Canis lupus familiaris: one gene and its partners. The protein of the gene in region 3 interacts with the protein of the main gene of each other region in a biochemical or structural test. Links are inferred from orthologs where the notes say so. Each region holds a gene or a part of one and is shown on either strand. Other genes may lie near its edges.

Evidence for each region.
Region 1: the proteins of STX4 (region 3) and SNAP25 form a complex in vitro, tested with the Homo sapiens proteins (3 studies listed by BioGRID). The link is inferred for Canis lupus familiaris from reciprocal best matches to the Homo sapiens genes STX4 and SNAP25.
Region 2: the proteins of STX4 (region 3) and SNAP23 form a complex in vitro, tested with the Homo sapiens proteins (4 studies listed by BioGRID). The link is inferred for Canis lupus familiaris from reciprocal best matches to the Homo sapiens genes STX4 and SNAP23.

The regions. Positions count from the first base shown.
Region 1 is NC_049245.1:12,539,710-12,543,962, forward strand, and holds the start of SNAP25 (synaptosomal-associated protein 25), read right to left. Parts: upstream 2,801-4,253; 5' UTR 2,637-2,800; intron 2,496-2,636; exon of another isoform or gene 2,454-2,495; intron 2,365-2,453; exon of another isoform or gene 2,069-2,364; intron 1-2,068.
Region 2 is NC_049251.1:9,746,622-9,750,711, forward strand, and holds the start of SNAP23 (synaptosomal-associated protein 23), read left to right. Parts: upstream 1-1,290; 5' UTR 1,291-1,429; intron 1,430-2,805; 5' UTR 2,806-3,000; intron 3,001-3,394; exon of another isoform or gene 3,395-3,414; intron 3,415-3,510; exon of another isoform or gene 3,511-3,629; intron 3,630-3,654; exon of another isoform or gene 3,655-3,887; intron 3,888-4,090. UniProt on the Homo sapiens protein: Essential component of the high affinity receptor for the general membrane fusion machinery and an important regulator of transport vesicle docking and fusion.
Region 3 is NC_049227.1:17,346,011-17,348,885, forward strand, and holds the end of STX4 (syntaxin-4), read right to left. Parts: intron 2,710-2,875; coding exon 2,601-2,709; intron 2,529-2,600; coding exon 2,452-2,528; intron 2,216-2,451; coding exon 2,078-2,215; intron 1,158-2,077; coding exon 1,047-1,157; intron 955-1,046; coding exon 874-954; 3' UTR 856-873; intron 761-855; 3' UTR 501-760; downstream 1-500. UniProt on the Homo sapiens protein: Plasma membrane t-SNARE that mediates docking of transport vesicles. Necessary for the translocation of SLC2A4 from intracellular vesicles to the plasma membrane.

The DNA.
Region 1 (4,253 bases), on a different chromosome or scaffold from region 3:
AGAAAATGCCAATGCACAAACAAGCAGGTACCATCAGAGGATCTACGTGAATGTTTCCTGGCACATCCTTATGTCCATCTGCTCCTGCCTCTTCTTGCCGTATTGCCCTGGATGTTTAAAATTTAAAATAGAAAATCTCTTCATTTTTTCCCGAAAAATTTAACATTCAATAACATGAATGTTAAATTCATGCTTCAATTATGTTTTTCTTTAATTTCTCAGTAAGCTGTTCTAGAATTAGCTCCGTAATTGTGCACATTGCCACTTCTTTCCAGATCTTTACCCTTTGCCAGCTTCACTGCAGTCTTCTACCTCCACCCCCCTAACCCCCATTTCCCCCAGTCTTCCACTAGCAAACAAACCCAGCAGTAATTACTAATGTCCAAGCACGTAATTCTGGCACCGTTAGGATTTTTTTTTTTTTTTTTGACGCAACTACGCAGAGCTGTCTGGACATGCAGCATGAAGTCAAAGCATTTTTAAAGACTCCTACCCATCTTTTCTCCCCTCCTCCTATCACTAAAACACAGTTGTTTATTTCGTTTGCGGATTGCAAGGTTATAAAATTCTTCCATGGAGTTACATAGCCCTGAATATTAATTTTACACCCATATACAGTAACAGATAAATATGTACTTATATGGAAACACATAGGTTATCCATAAAATTGAAAAACATTAGGAAATAAATAGCTAGGAATGAAAGTACCTCCTCTATATGGACAGGACCATTTTAGCAGCTCTAGTATAGAAATCATTGGAGTTATGACTAACAAAAACAATCCAAGATCTTAATGTGAGGCTTTTCAAAAGATCATGACAGTGTTTCTTTTAATGCGTTGCATAGATTCCTACATATGACGCTGTTACTCTTATTTAACAACTATTCAAATAGTACAGTTTTGCGCCTGGTATTTTATGACAATTTTAGTTATATCAAACAACAGGAAATATTCCTTGGTAATTTTTGTTCACTCAGAGGCCCCAAGGCTCAGAGTAGAAAATGATTAAAGTACTTATCACTGTCTCAGCAAAATCCCGCAGTGCCGTAATAGAAATTGCAGTAGATCTTTAGGTCAGAGTCCAGTTTCAGTCTAACACCTGCATGACCCTGAAGGACATAGTTGGATTTTGAGGAAAACCAGTCTTAATAATGTCCAGATCAGAAACTATCGGCCTGAGATAACCAATGTTCATAGGAAACACTTCCACTCCCTCTGAAACCATGGCAAAAGAGATTAAATCTATACCTTGTAGGACCTGTAATATTTCTGAGATGTATTTTTGTGAGTGTGTGCTTATGTACATGCCTAATTACAAGGATGGGAGAGAAGGAAGAAGAGGGCTTCATTCTTAAAGTTGATTCTGCTTAGTTTAACTATATATATATATATATATATATATATATATATATATCAAATAGAAATATATACAGAAATATATTACTCCTGTAAACAGATCATTTTGGTATCTTCATATATACCTCATTCATGCCCACCCAAGGTCTGCAGACAAATATACTCTGTGTTAAAAACAAAACCAAACAAAACCCTTGATATCTGACTGGAGGATGAAGCAGATTTTTCTTAAAAATGTGTTTACTTTCTACTTAAGAAAAAGGGACGAGGGCAACATGAGAAGTCTATAAGTAGACTTATTTCTTTTTTAAGCTATGCGGGAGCTGAGGATGGGAGCAGGTAATTGCCTGCAAAGCAGTCCTACGGCAGGATTTATTTTTTTCTTTTTTAAAATTGTTAACCTACTACGTCTTCTCTATCAGGGAGTCTCTCTGTGAGACCGAGGTCTCAGAGAGGCAATTTGGCCTCCAGCCCTGACCGGCAGCTCTGGCCAGGCAGCTCTGCGGCAGGTAGATGCGGCGAGGCTGCCGGGCCGCTCTCCGCGGTGCTGAAAGGTCGCGGGCGCCCGCGAGGGGCCTGGGCATCGCTGTCCAGGGTGCTGACTGCGGGCCGCCGCAGTCCCCGAGGCGAGCCCACCCCCGCCAGCCCTCCGCAGAGCCCTCCCACACAGCATGACCCGCCCGCCTCCCGCCAGCCTGCAGTCGACGGGGAGCAGGCGGCATAAATCAAGTCCGCGGGGCATGGAGGCTGCTGCCGCTGCTGCAGCTCGGCTTGCCCGGGGCGGGAACTCCCCCTTCTCTCGCCTCCCCAGCGCCCACGACCTGCCTTCTCCCTAATTCTTCGCTGGATAATAGCGCCTGAACGACAATAGTCAAAATAACAGGGTCAGAACGACAGAGTTTGTTTTGGTCTACCGGGGGAAAAAAAAAATCAAAAAACCAGCAGCCTAAACATCTCTGAAAACTGCATCGCAAAATGGAAGAGAGTCCCACTACTGTTTCGAAAGAGTAAGTTATTATTCGGCATGTATCCTTGCGCTTCCTCCCCATCGCTCCATCTGCAGTGTCCCCATTCCTCCCTTCCCCAGGCGGCTCACCTCGAAAATACTTTATAAAGCCCCTAGACCGGAGCTATCCCGACGCGCACACACGGCATACCGCACCCTAGGTGCACAAATACTTGTATTTGCCCACGCTCACTTGGTCTCCTCGGCTGTGGTCCCCTCTGGGTATGCAGCCATCCAAAACCAGAACCACGACCTGAGGTGGAGGCTCCTTACCTTGGCTTCTGCAGAGGGTGGTGTTCGCCTGGCCCCTCGCAGGGTGCAAGTGTGGAGGAGCCGCCAAGCCGGGAGGGAAGGAGAGACAGCGCCTGACCTCTCCGAGGTTTCGTCTTCAATGCAACGTGAGCTCTGCCCTCATCAAAGATGGCCGTCCCTTTTGACGTCAGCAGCTTTTAATAGCCCTCTCCAGGAGGGGCGGGGAGGAAGTGTGCCGCGGGGAGCGCGGGGGGAGGATGGAGGTGGGAGGTGGGCGGTGGGAGGGGCGGAGCCGAGTTGTGCGGACCGCTTGACTCAGCTCCCTGTGCGCTTTCCTGCAAACCTTTGTATTTCAGTCTTTTATAAACACCTGAATGAGGCGATTCTTATGACTCCATCTTAACACCCGGTGTCGGGCAAATACATTTATCTCGCGACTAGTTTTCTGATATTCTTTGTGTGTGTGTATGTATATATGTTATCTGTGTGTGCCTATATTGTGTCATATCTGCGACATATATGCGATTATATAGAATTTCCCCTCCCCCTGCTGAGTTGTCTTTGGTTGAGTCATAGAAGGGGAGGGGAAGGCAGAAGAGTAGAAGTGGGGGAGGTAGTCGAGGGGATTTCAGCTGCAATTCGCTTTTTCTAAGGAAGCGGCTCCGAAGGGGCATCCCTGTCAGCCCTCACCAGCTCCATATATGGCCAGGCTACGTGGGCTGCTATTTTTATGAGTGATTTCTTCATTTTATCAAAGCAGCACCCAGCGTTTAGAGTTTGCATTAATGTGGTCAGTTGGGGAGGCAGACGCGTACACGTTATTTTAAAGTACGTCAGAGCAATTATCTCTGAGAGATACAGAATGAATTGGGCGGAGGGGGAGGGAGGGGTAGTTAACCTAACCAGCGTGGGTTTCCTGGAGTTCAAGGCTTGGAGTTGAGAGTTATTTGCTGAGGGCAAACTAGATGACGCTGTTTTCGGTTAAATATGCAACCAGAACCTGGGGTTTTATGTTGGGTTTCTTAGGAATAGTTCACGGAAGCGCGCACAGACCTTATGGAACCATCCAGACTTCCAAGGGGAGTGGGGAAGGCTGAGGATTCCAGGATCTCTGGGACGCTACAGAATTTTGGTGGTTCATTCCATGTGCAAACCTGGGTACCAGTCGAGGCTAGCCGGGGTGGGGGGGGGGAGTGCTCTGATGCTTAAAACGGCGTGGGCGAGAAAGGCTACCTGTGCTGGTCATATGAGAGATTAAAAATAATAACCATAAGGGAATAATCCTAACTGTCCTCCTTTGTTGTGCATTAGGCACCGAGGGAGGGCGGGTGGTGGGCTATGCAAATGGTTGCGCGGCGGCAGCCTCTCGGATGATTCACAGGTGTTGGGGAGGCTGTCGCGGGGCTCCGCGGGGAGGGCGAGCTGGAGAGCGCGTGGGAGGTGGGGGACCTCGGCTGAGGAACTGTTTGTACTTTTCCGGGAAGGATGCGATTAGAAGTCGTGCCTCGCAATGTTAAAACTCGATGGCCTCTTTCAGGCGATGGAAAATCCTTGTCTCGGGTCCGGAAAAACAAGGCACAATCCCCAACCCTGCCAACACACACACACACACGCACACACACACGCGCGCACACACGC
Region 2 (4,090 bases), on a different chromosome or scaffold from region 3:
CAGAGCCGGAACGCCCCCGCGAGAATCTGTACCCCGAAGCCAGAAGCACCGTCTGCCTGTAAAACGCGCGGGCTCAGGGAGCGGGGAGGACCCGGGCGCAGCGGCGCCGCAGCCTGCAGGAGCACAAGCCCGGCCGCGCGTCCTGCAGCCCGAAACCTTAGGGGCAGACCACCAGGACCCCGCCGTTCCCATACGCCCCAACGCAGCCCGGCGCCTCGATACTCACACTCACAGCCGACCCCTCTTACTCCATCGGGCCGCCAAGGTCCCAGCGAGGGAGGTCCCCTAGGCCCCTCTCAGTTTTGGGTCCGGCGGCCCACTCCGGGCCCCCTCCCCCCCGGGCACCACCGCCGCCGCCGCCGCCGCCGCCGCCGCCGCCAGCGCGCAGGCGCACACCGCCGCCGTCACGCTCCTTTTTTTTTTTTTTTTTTTCCTCTTTGCAGTCCGCCTTTCTCAATAATCTAGCTTTATTTGAACACACAAGAGTGAACAACGGACACAGGGTAAAGAGACTTTACTGGAAAAGAAAGATCAAAGGCAGGTCGGCTTGCAGAAGTTACTCTGCAGCCCTGAACGCACCTGTGACCAGCCTCCTTAGTTCTTTTTTCATTCGTTTTGCTCTTTCTGGGCCTCCCTGTTGCTTCTACTCTCTTCCTAAATCACCAGCATTCCCTTTATGCAGTGGCAATTGTTTAAGCTAAATTTCCAACCACTCCTGCCTTGTAAAACCTACTGATGTTTAATGGAAGGTCTAAGAGCTTGAGGACAGACAGATATGAGTTCAAATCTTGACCTAGCTTCTACTAATTTATGACTTTGGGCAAATTACAAGTTTTCTTGGAATCTCAGTTTCTGCACAGTTAAAATTGGGATAATGGTATCTCTCAGGGGGTTGCTAGGATTAAATGACATAATGCAGGTCAAGTGCCTATCTATGAATGGGTGCCTGTCATAAAGCAAAAAAAATCCATGAATACCTATGATGATATTTTTATTAATACTTACCATATTTATTTCCTTTATTAAATGTAGCCCATATTCATTCTCTCATGATCCTATTTTAGTAACTACAGCTAATCAGATAAATCAAGTTACATTAAGATTAATAATGGTGTGAAGCGTTACTCCTATATTATTGAAGTTCTAACAATGTCTGTGTTTAACAAGATCTTCAATACCTAAAACCAAAGCAAGCACCTCCCTTCAACTATGTAGAAGTCCAGATTTGTATCTAGAGGACTGAAGAACTATTCCAATTCTGTATTTGTGACATCACAAGTCCTTGAAACACTCAAGGTCTCAGGTACATGCTCATTCTACTCTCCTTCAAAAGTATGCAATGGAAGGACTACTTTACCCTAAAAGTTCAGGGCTATAGTCCAAGGAAAAGCTTGTAGAAGAGTAAGATGAGCCATTGGTGAGCATCAAGGTAATCATAGATCAGGGTTTCTTTCTTTCTTTCTTTCTTTCTTTCTTTCTTTCTTTCTTTCTTTCTTTCTTTCTTTCTTCTTTCTTTCTTTCTTTCTTTCTTTCTTTCTTTCTTTCTTTCTTTCTTCTTTCTCTTTCTTTTTTTAAAGATTTATTCTATTCATTTGAGAGAGAGACAAAGACAGAGAGCAGGGGGTGAAGGGAGGGCAGGGTGTGACAGAGGGAGAGAAGCAGACTCCTAGCTGAGTGTGGAGCCCAGTGTTTGACACCATAATCCCAAAATCACAACCTGAGGTGAAACCAAGAATAGGACACCCAACTGACTGACCCACCTGGGTACCCCTAGGTCAAGGCTTCTTAACCTTGGCACTATTGATACTTTGGAGATAACTTTTTTTAGAGGTGAAGAGGGGAAGAGGGAGAGAGAATCTTAAGCAGGCTCCAAGCCCAGCACAGAGCCCAATGTGGGGCTGGATCTCAAAACCCTGAGATCATGACCTGAGCTGAAATCAGGAATTGGACACTTAACCAACTGAGCCACCCAGGTGCTATTTGGAGATAATTCTTGTGCTGTCCTGTGCATTGTAGGGTGCTTAACAGCATCCCTGGACACTAGATGCCTATAGTATCTCCCACCTTCATGTCCTTTACATGCCTTTACGTTACATCCTTTACATCCCCCACTCCAATCCCTGTCATCTTCAAAGGCCAAGATGCCTCTGGTTGAGAACCATAGCATTATCCCAACCATAAATAAACTCAACCATACATTTTGTCCACTTCTGCCCAGAAGTGGAAGAAGTGACTGCTGCTTTAGTAAGTCACACAGGAGGTTAGAAGCTGGAGAGTTCACTTTTACCAATCTTATACAGGCCCTAGACACTGCTTAACAGTCCGACTACTTGTTCAAGATCAACTTGTTCTATCACTTCTGTAACAATATTTCAAAACTCTCCACTTGCCTTAAAACTCCTAACTCCAGGGGCACCTGGGTGGCTCAGCGGTTGAGCATCTCTGCCTTTGGCCCAGGGCATGATCCTGGAGTCCTGGGATGGAGTCCCACACTGGGCTCCCGGCATGGAACCTGCTTCTCCCTCTGCCTTTGTCTTTCCCTCTCTATCTGTGTCACTCATGAGTAAATAAATAAAATCTCAAAAAAAAAAAAAAAAAAAAAAAACCTCCCAACTTCTTTTCTATTAGATGACATCATCTCCTACTTCATAGAGAAAACAGAGGTCATCAGATGAGAACTTCTTTAACTTCCTGTTACTAAACATAAAACACCTACTTCCTCTTATAATTGAGGAGGTATCTTCTCTCTCTCCCAAAACCATTATTTCTTCTCTGAAATACTTTTTTTTTTTTTTAAATTTCCAGCATTGTGCTCTATTCTTTGAGGCGCCTAGAAGAGTTCCTGAACCTGTTTAAAAATCCTTCAATGGCTCTCTGAGGTCATAGCATAAAGTCCAGGCTCACTAGTCCAAAAGTGCAAAACCTTCCAAGATCGGACCCATTGCCGACTTGACTATTTAAAGCTTATTCTCCACTTCACCCGGAGATACACAATGAGCTGTAAGCCTCTAACTAGGATGAACTACGAGGAATTTACCGAAGGCGCTATGTTCTTAATGGCACACGCTGTTCCCACGGGTTGGAAAAAACTGTGGCCCTCCACCCCAGACTTCTGGGAGAACTACTTAGCCTTCCTGATTGAAAAGCCACTTCCTCTGGGAACCCTTCCAAACATCCCTAAGAATAAGGCTCTTCTTTCATTGTGCGCCAAGCCCGCCTCGGACGTTTCCAATGCCACGCACTGTATTCTATGCACTATCATTTGTTTCCATGTCGATCTCCAATCTAGACAGATCGAAAGGCCCCGGAAGGCAGGGAAGGCGTTCTTTTCGCCTTCTTTTCTTCCAGTAAACGGTTTACCCTTAACAAATGTTTGTTGCACTTCGGGAGGGATCCGAATTATCCGGCTAACGGGTGAGTCCCCAGGCTCCCCGCCTGCGTGGCAGGGAGATGTAAACCCCTCAGACGGTGATTGGCTCCGGCGCCAGCGGTGTCCGCGCCCGCGCGGCCGAGGCAGTGCGCATGCGCGCGGGCCAGGCGCGCGCAGGCGCCGGGAGGACGCAGGTCCAGGTCCCGTCCGGGGGGTGTCCGAGCCGCTGCCGCGCGAGAGGAGTGGCCGGAACTGCTTGGTGAGCCTTCGGGAGGGGGGTTGAGGGAGCAACTCGGTTGGAGATCGGGATCCAGTTCCCAAGAAGCAAGGGGATTCCCGTGACGGTTTAAAACTTGGTGCGGTCGGTCTAAAGGGGAGGGTGGGGGGTGCTCTGGCCCGGACTGGGCAGGTCGGGCCCGAAGCAAGGACCCGCGCTGCCAGGAAACCACCGCGGGGCCGGCGGAGGAAGGGCGGCAGGATCGTGGTTGGTTGAACCCCGCCTCAAAACCTAGCGGAGGTAAACTCCCACTCCCCCACCCCTGCAGTGTTGCTGTGGTCGGGATTAATTGTATGTGACCACAGTGATCGAATGACTCTGAGCTAGAGTTTGGAGGTGTCTGAGGTGCGTGGCATCGCAGAGTCCGTGCTCTCGAGGAAAGTCCATCCGGATTCGCGGCTTTACTGTAGACGCACGAAGGATCCCTGGAACACTGGATTTTA
Region 3 (2,875 bases):
TGCCTTTTTCTGGGCTCTGCCCTGCAGCCTCTCCCCCTGCTTCTTCTCATAACTGGCTCCTCCTCATTTAACAGCCCACTGAAATGTCACCCTTTCTGAGACAGGACTTTCCCTGTTCACTGTATCTGGAGTAACAGCCTCCATTACTCAACGGTGCCTCGTGGCCTCAGGAAGGCCGATGGATGCCCACACACACCTCACCTATGTCCCAGCCTACCAGGCCCAGCTTCACTGCTTTGGGGTTAGGTACTCACAGTAATCCTTCCCCAAGGACAATACTGAGCCAGATGTGGGTGTTAGCCCCTCCCTGCCCACCTGTTCCTAAGGGAGAGTAGAAGGGCAGTGCTAGCCTGCTGTGGTCACAGCACCTGAACAGTCTGATCTGAGTCTTCCTCGGATGGGCCTGGCCCCAAAGATGGCCACGGAAAGAGGAGGCCGCCTACGTAGAGGCCCTGGGCCAGCTCTTCTAGGAACATACATGCACGGGGCAGTCTCCAAGCTCATTTTTCTGTTTGTCTTTTTTTACTTTCTTACAAAACCATGTGTCCCAGCCAAACAGGACGCTGCAGGCCTTCCCCCAGGCATTGTGGCCTGAGTGGAGAAGCCCCCATGAATGAGTGGCTGCCAACCCCAGAAGAACTGTCTGCCCCTCTGCACAGGGCCAGTGTGAGGAAGGGGGTCCAGTTGGAGGCTCTGTCCTGCCCTCCCCCCTCAGCTGCTGGGAGAGAAGGCGGACCCGGGTCCCCGGTGTTCTTAGAGCCTGTAAGGGAAGGAGGGAGAAGAGGGTCTGAGGGGAGGAGGAAAGGCAGGGGCCCAGGACGAGGCAGGCCAGGGGGCAGGCCCACAATAGCTCACCAAGAATGTGCAATGCTCTCAAACCAATGTGGCGATACCAATGATGACTGCCAGAATGACGACAGTGACAGACACACAAATGGCGATCAAGACTTTCTTCTGTGGGAGAGTTCAGGGAAACAAACTCAGAAGGGGAGGGAAGGCAACCAGGGCCTCAGACTAGAGGGGAGGGAAGGGGTGTCAAGGCTCACCTTCCGAGCCTTCTTCTGGTTCTCCAGGGCAATCTTGACATGTTCCTGCCCGCGTTCCACATAGTCTGCTGAGCTCAGGATGTTCTTCTCAATCCGGTTGATCATCTCCCCCTGCTCAGAGGAGGGGGACAGTTCAGGCAGGTAGGGATGACTGGGGGTGGAGAGCCCATCAGCTCCTCTGCTTGCTCACACTAGCTGCCTAAAGGACATTTTCTGGCAGGAAATGCAGCACTAACAAAGGTGTGGGGGTAGGACCACATCTGACCAAAGTGCACACTCCTGAGGGTGGCTTCCAGGATCCCTTTTATTATGTAGTCCCTTCTGCCCTGCTCCCTTACCCCCTACAACCTTCATTTGCAGTGGTGGCTTGGAGCCAAGCGCCTTAAGAAGCTCATACCTTGTCACAGAGGGTGAACTTCTGTCTCTTTGTAAATCTGTCTGAATTTGCTCATTCTTCTAGGCTTGCCTCTCAACAGCTGTGAAGCCCTCCCCAACCCTGCCTCCTCATGGCACTGCCAGCCTTCAGGTCCTGGTACTCCTACTGAATGAAATGCCTTCCCCATGAATCCCAGCTGCACAAGGGCATTGGCTGCAGCACTAGAGGCCGGCAGCTTACCTCACCTCACACAACGGGGGCAGCAGAAGAACACCACCTCCCACCCCAACCTCATTCAGATCTGTGGAGGCATGCCCCCTAAGGAGCATCTTTGAGTAGAACTCTTAGAGGTATAAGGGTGGATTCTATTGGTGGAGGAGGAGCCAGAGTTGGGCTACATCCTGGGTAGCTCAACTGGGAGACAGGGTAAGATGGTGAGTGTAGAGGAGTGGCCATCTGTGTAATGTGGAGGTGGAAGCAATTCTGGGGCTCAGCTACAGATGGGAGTGAGGGCCAGCCTGGGGGCATGGCCCAGCCTGGAGGGGGATGAAAGCCTCGGGGAGAGAGGCTAGAGAGTGGAGATGGACTGACAGACACAGTGGGGTTTCTGACTGAACACGGTCTCACATCAAGCCCAGCCAGCTGTCTTGCCCACCTGCATCTCCACTTCTGTAGCCAGGAAAGTGAAAATCTCATGAAGTTCACGGATGCTGCGTTCAAGCTGCTGTATCTCACTGTGCCGGGCTGAGATCTCATTTAGGGCCTGTCGAGTCACCTGCGTGTCCTTCAGGATCTGGGGAGCAGATAGGAATGGCCAGACAGGTCACAGGGAATCCAGCAGCAGATCAGAAGTTCCTGTTGAGCTTTCAGGCAGCCCTCAGGCTTAGAACTGGGGCCAGGACCTTGATGAGCGACCCTAGGCATGCTAAGTCATTCCCTTCCAGGCCTCTGTATTCCCTCAATCAAAGGGGACCAGGCCTCAGCGAAGATGAGAGTCCCAGAAGAGGGAGGCTAGCCATGACCACTCACATTGGATACAAACACCTCGCTTTGCCCACTGTCCAGCATCTGCTCCAGCTCCTCATCAGACACCATTCCAGCATTTGCTGTGAAGGAAAAGGTCAGGCTCAGAGCTGGGTCAGGTTACCTGACCCTGTAGGCCAGACACCACAACTCACTGATCTTCAGCTGCCTCCGAATCCGCTCCACATTCTTCTCCCGGTACTCGGACTGCATCAAGTTGCACTTGTTGATGAGCTCCACGAATTGCTGGGACAGGACCCCATGCTGATGATAGAAAATATAGGCTGGGCACCCCGGAAGGATTTGGCCTTAACATCCCCATAAGTATAGGGAGCAAACAGCATAAGCTGTTCTAGGAGCCTGCTGCCTTGACCACCATTCTCTCAAGGTCAAAGCCAAAGCCTTTACTAGGGCTTATAAGGCCCTATTG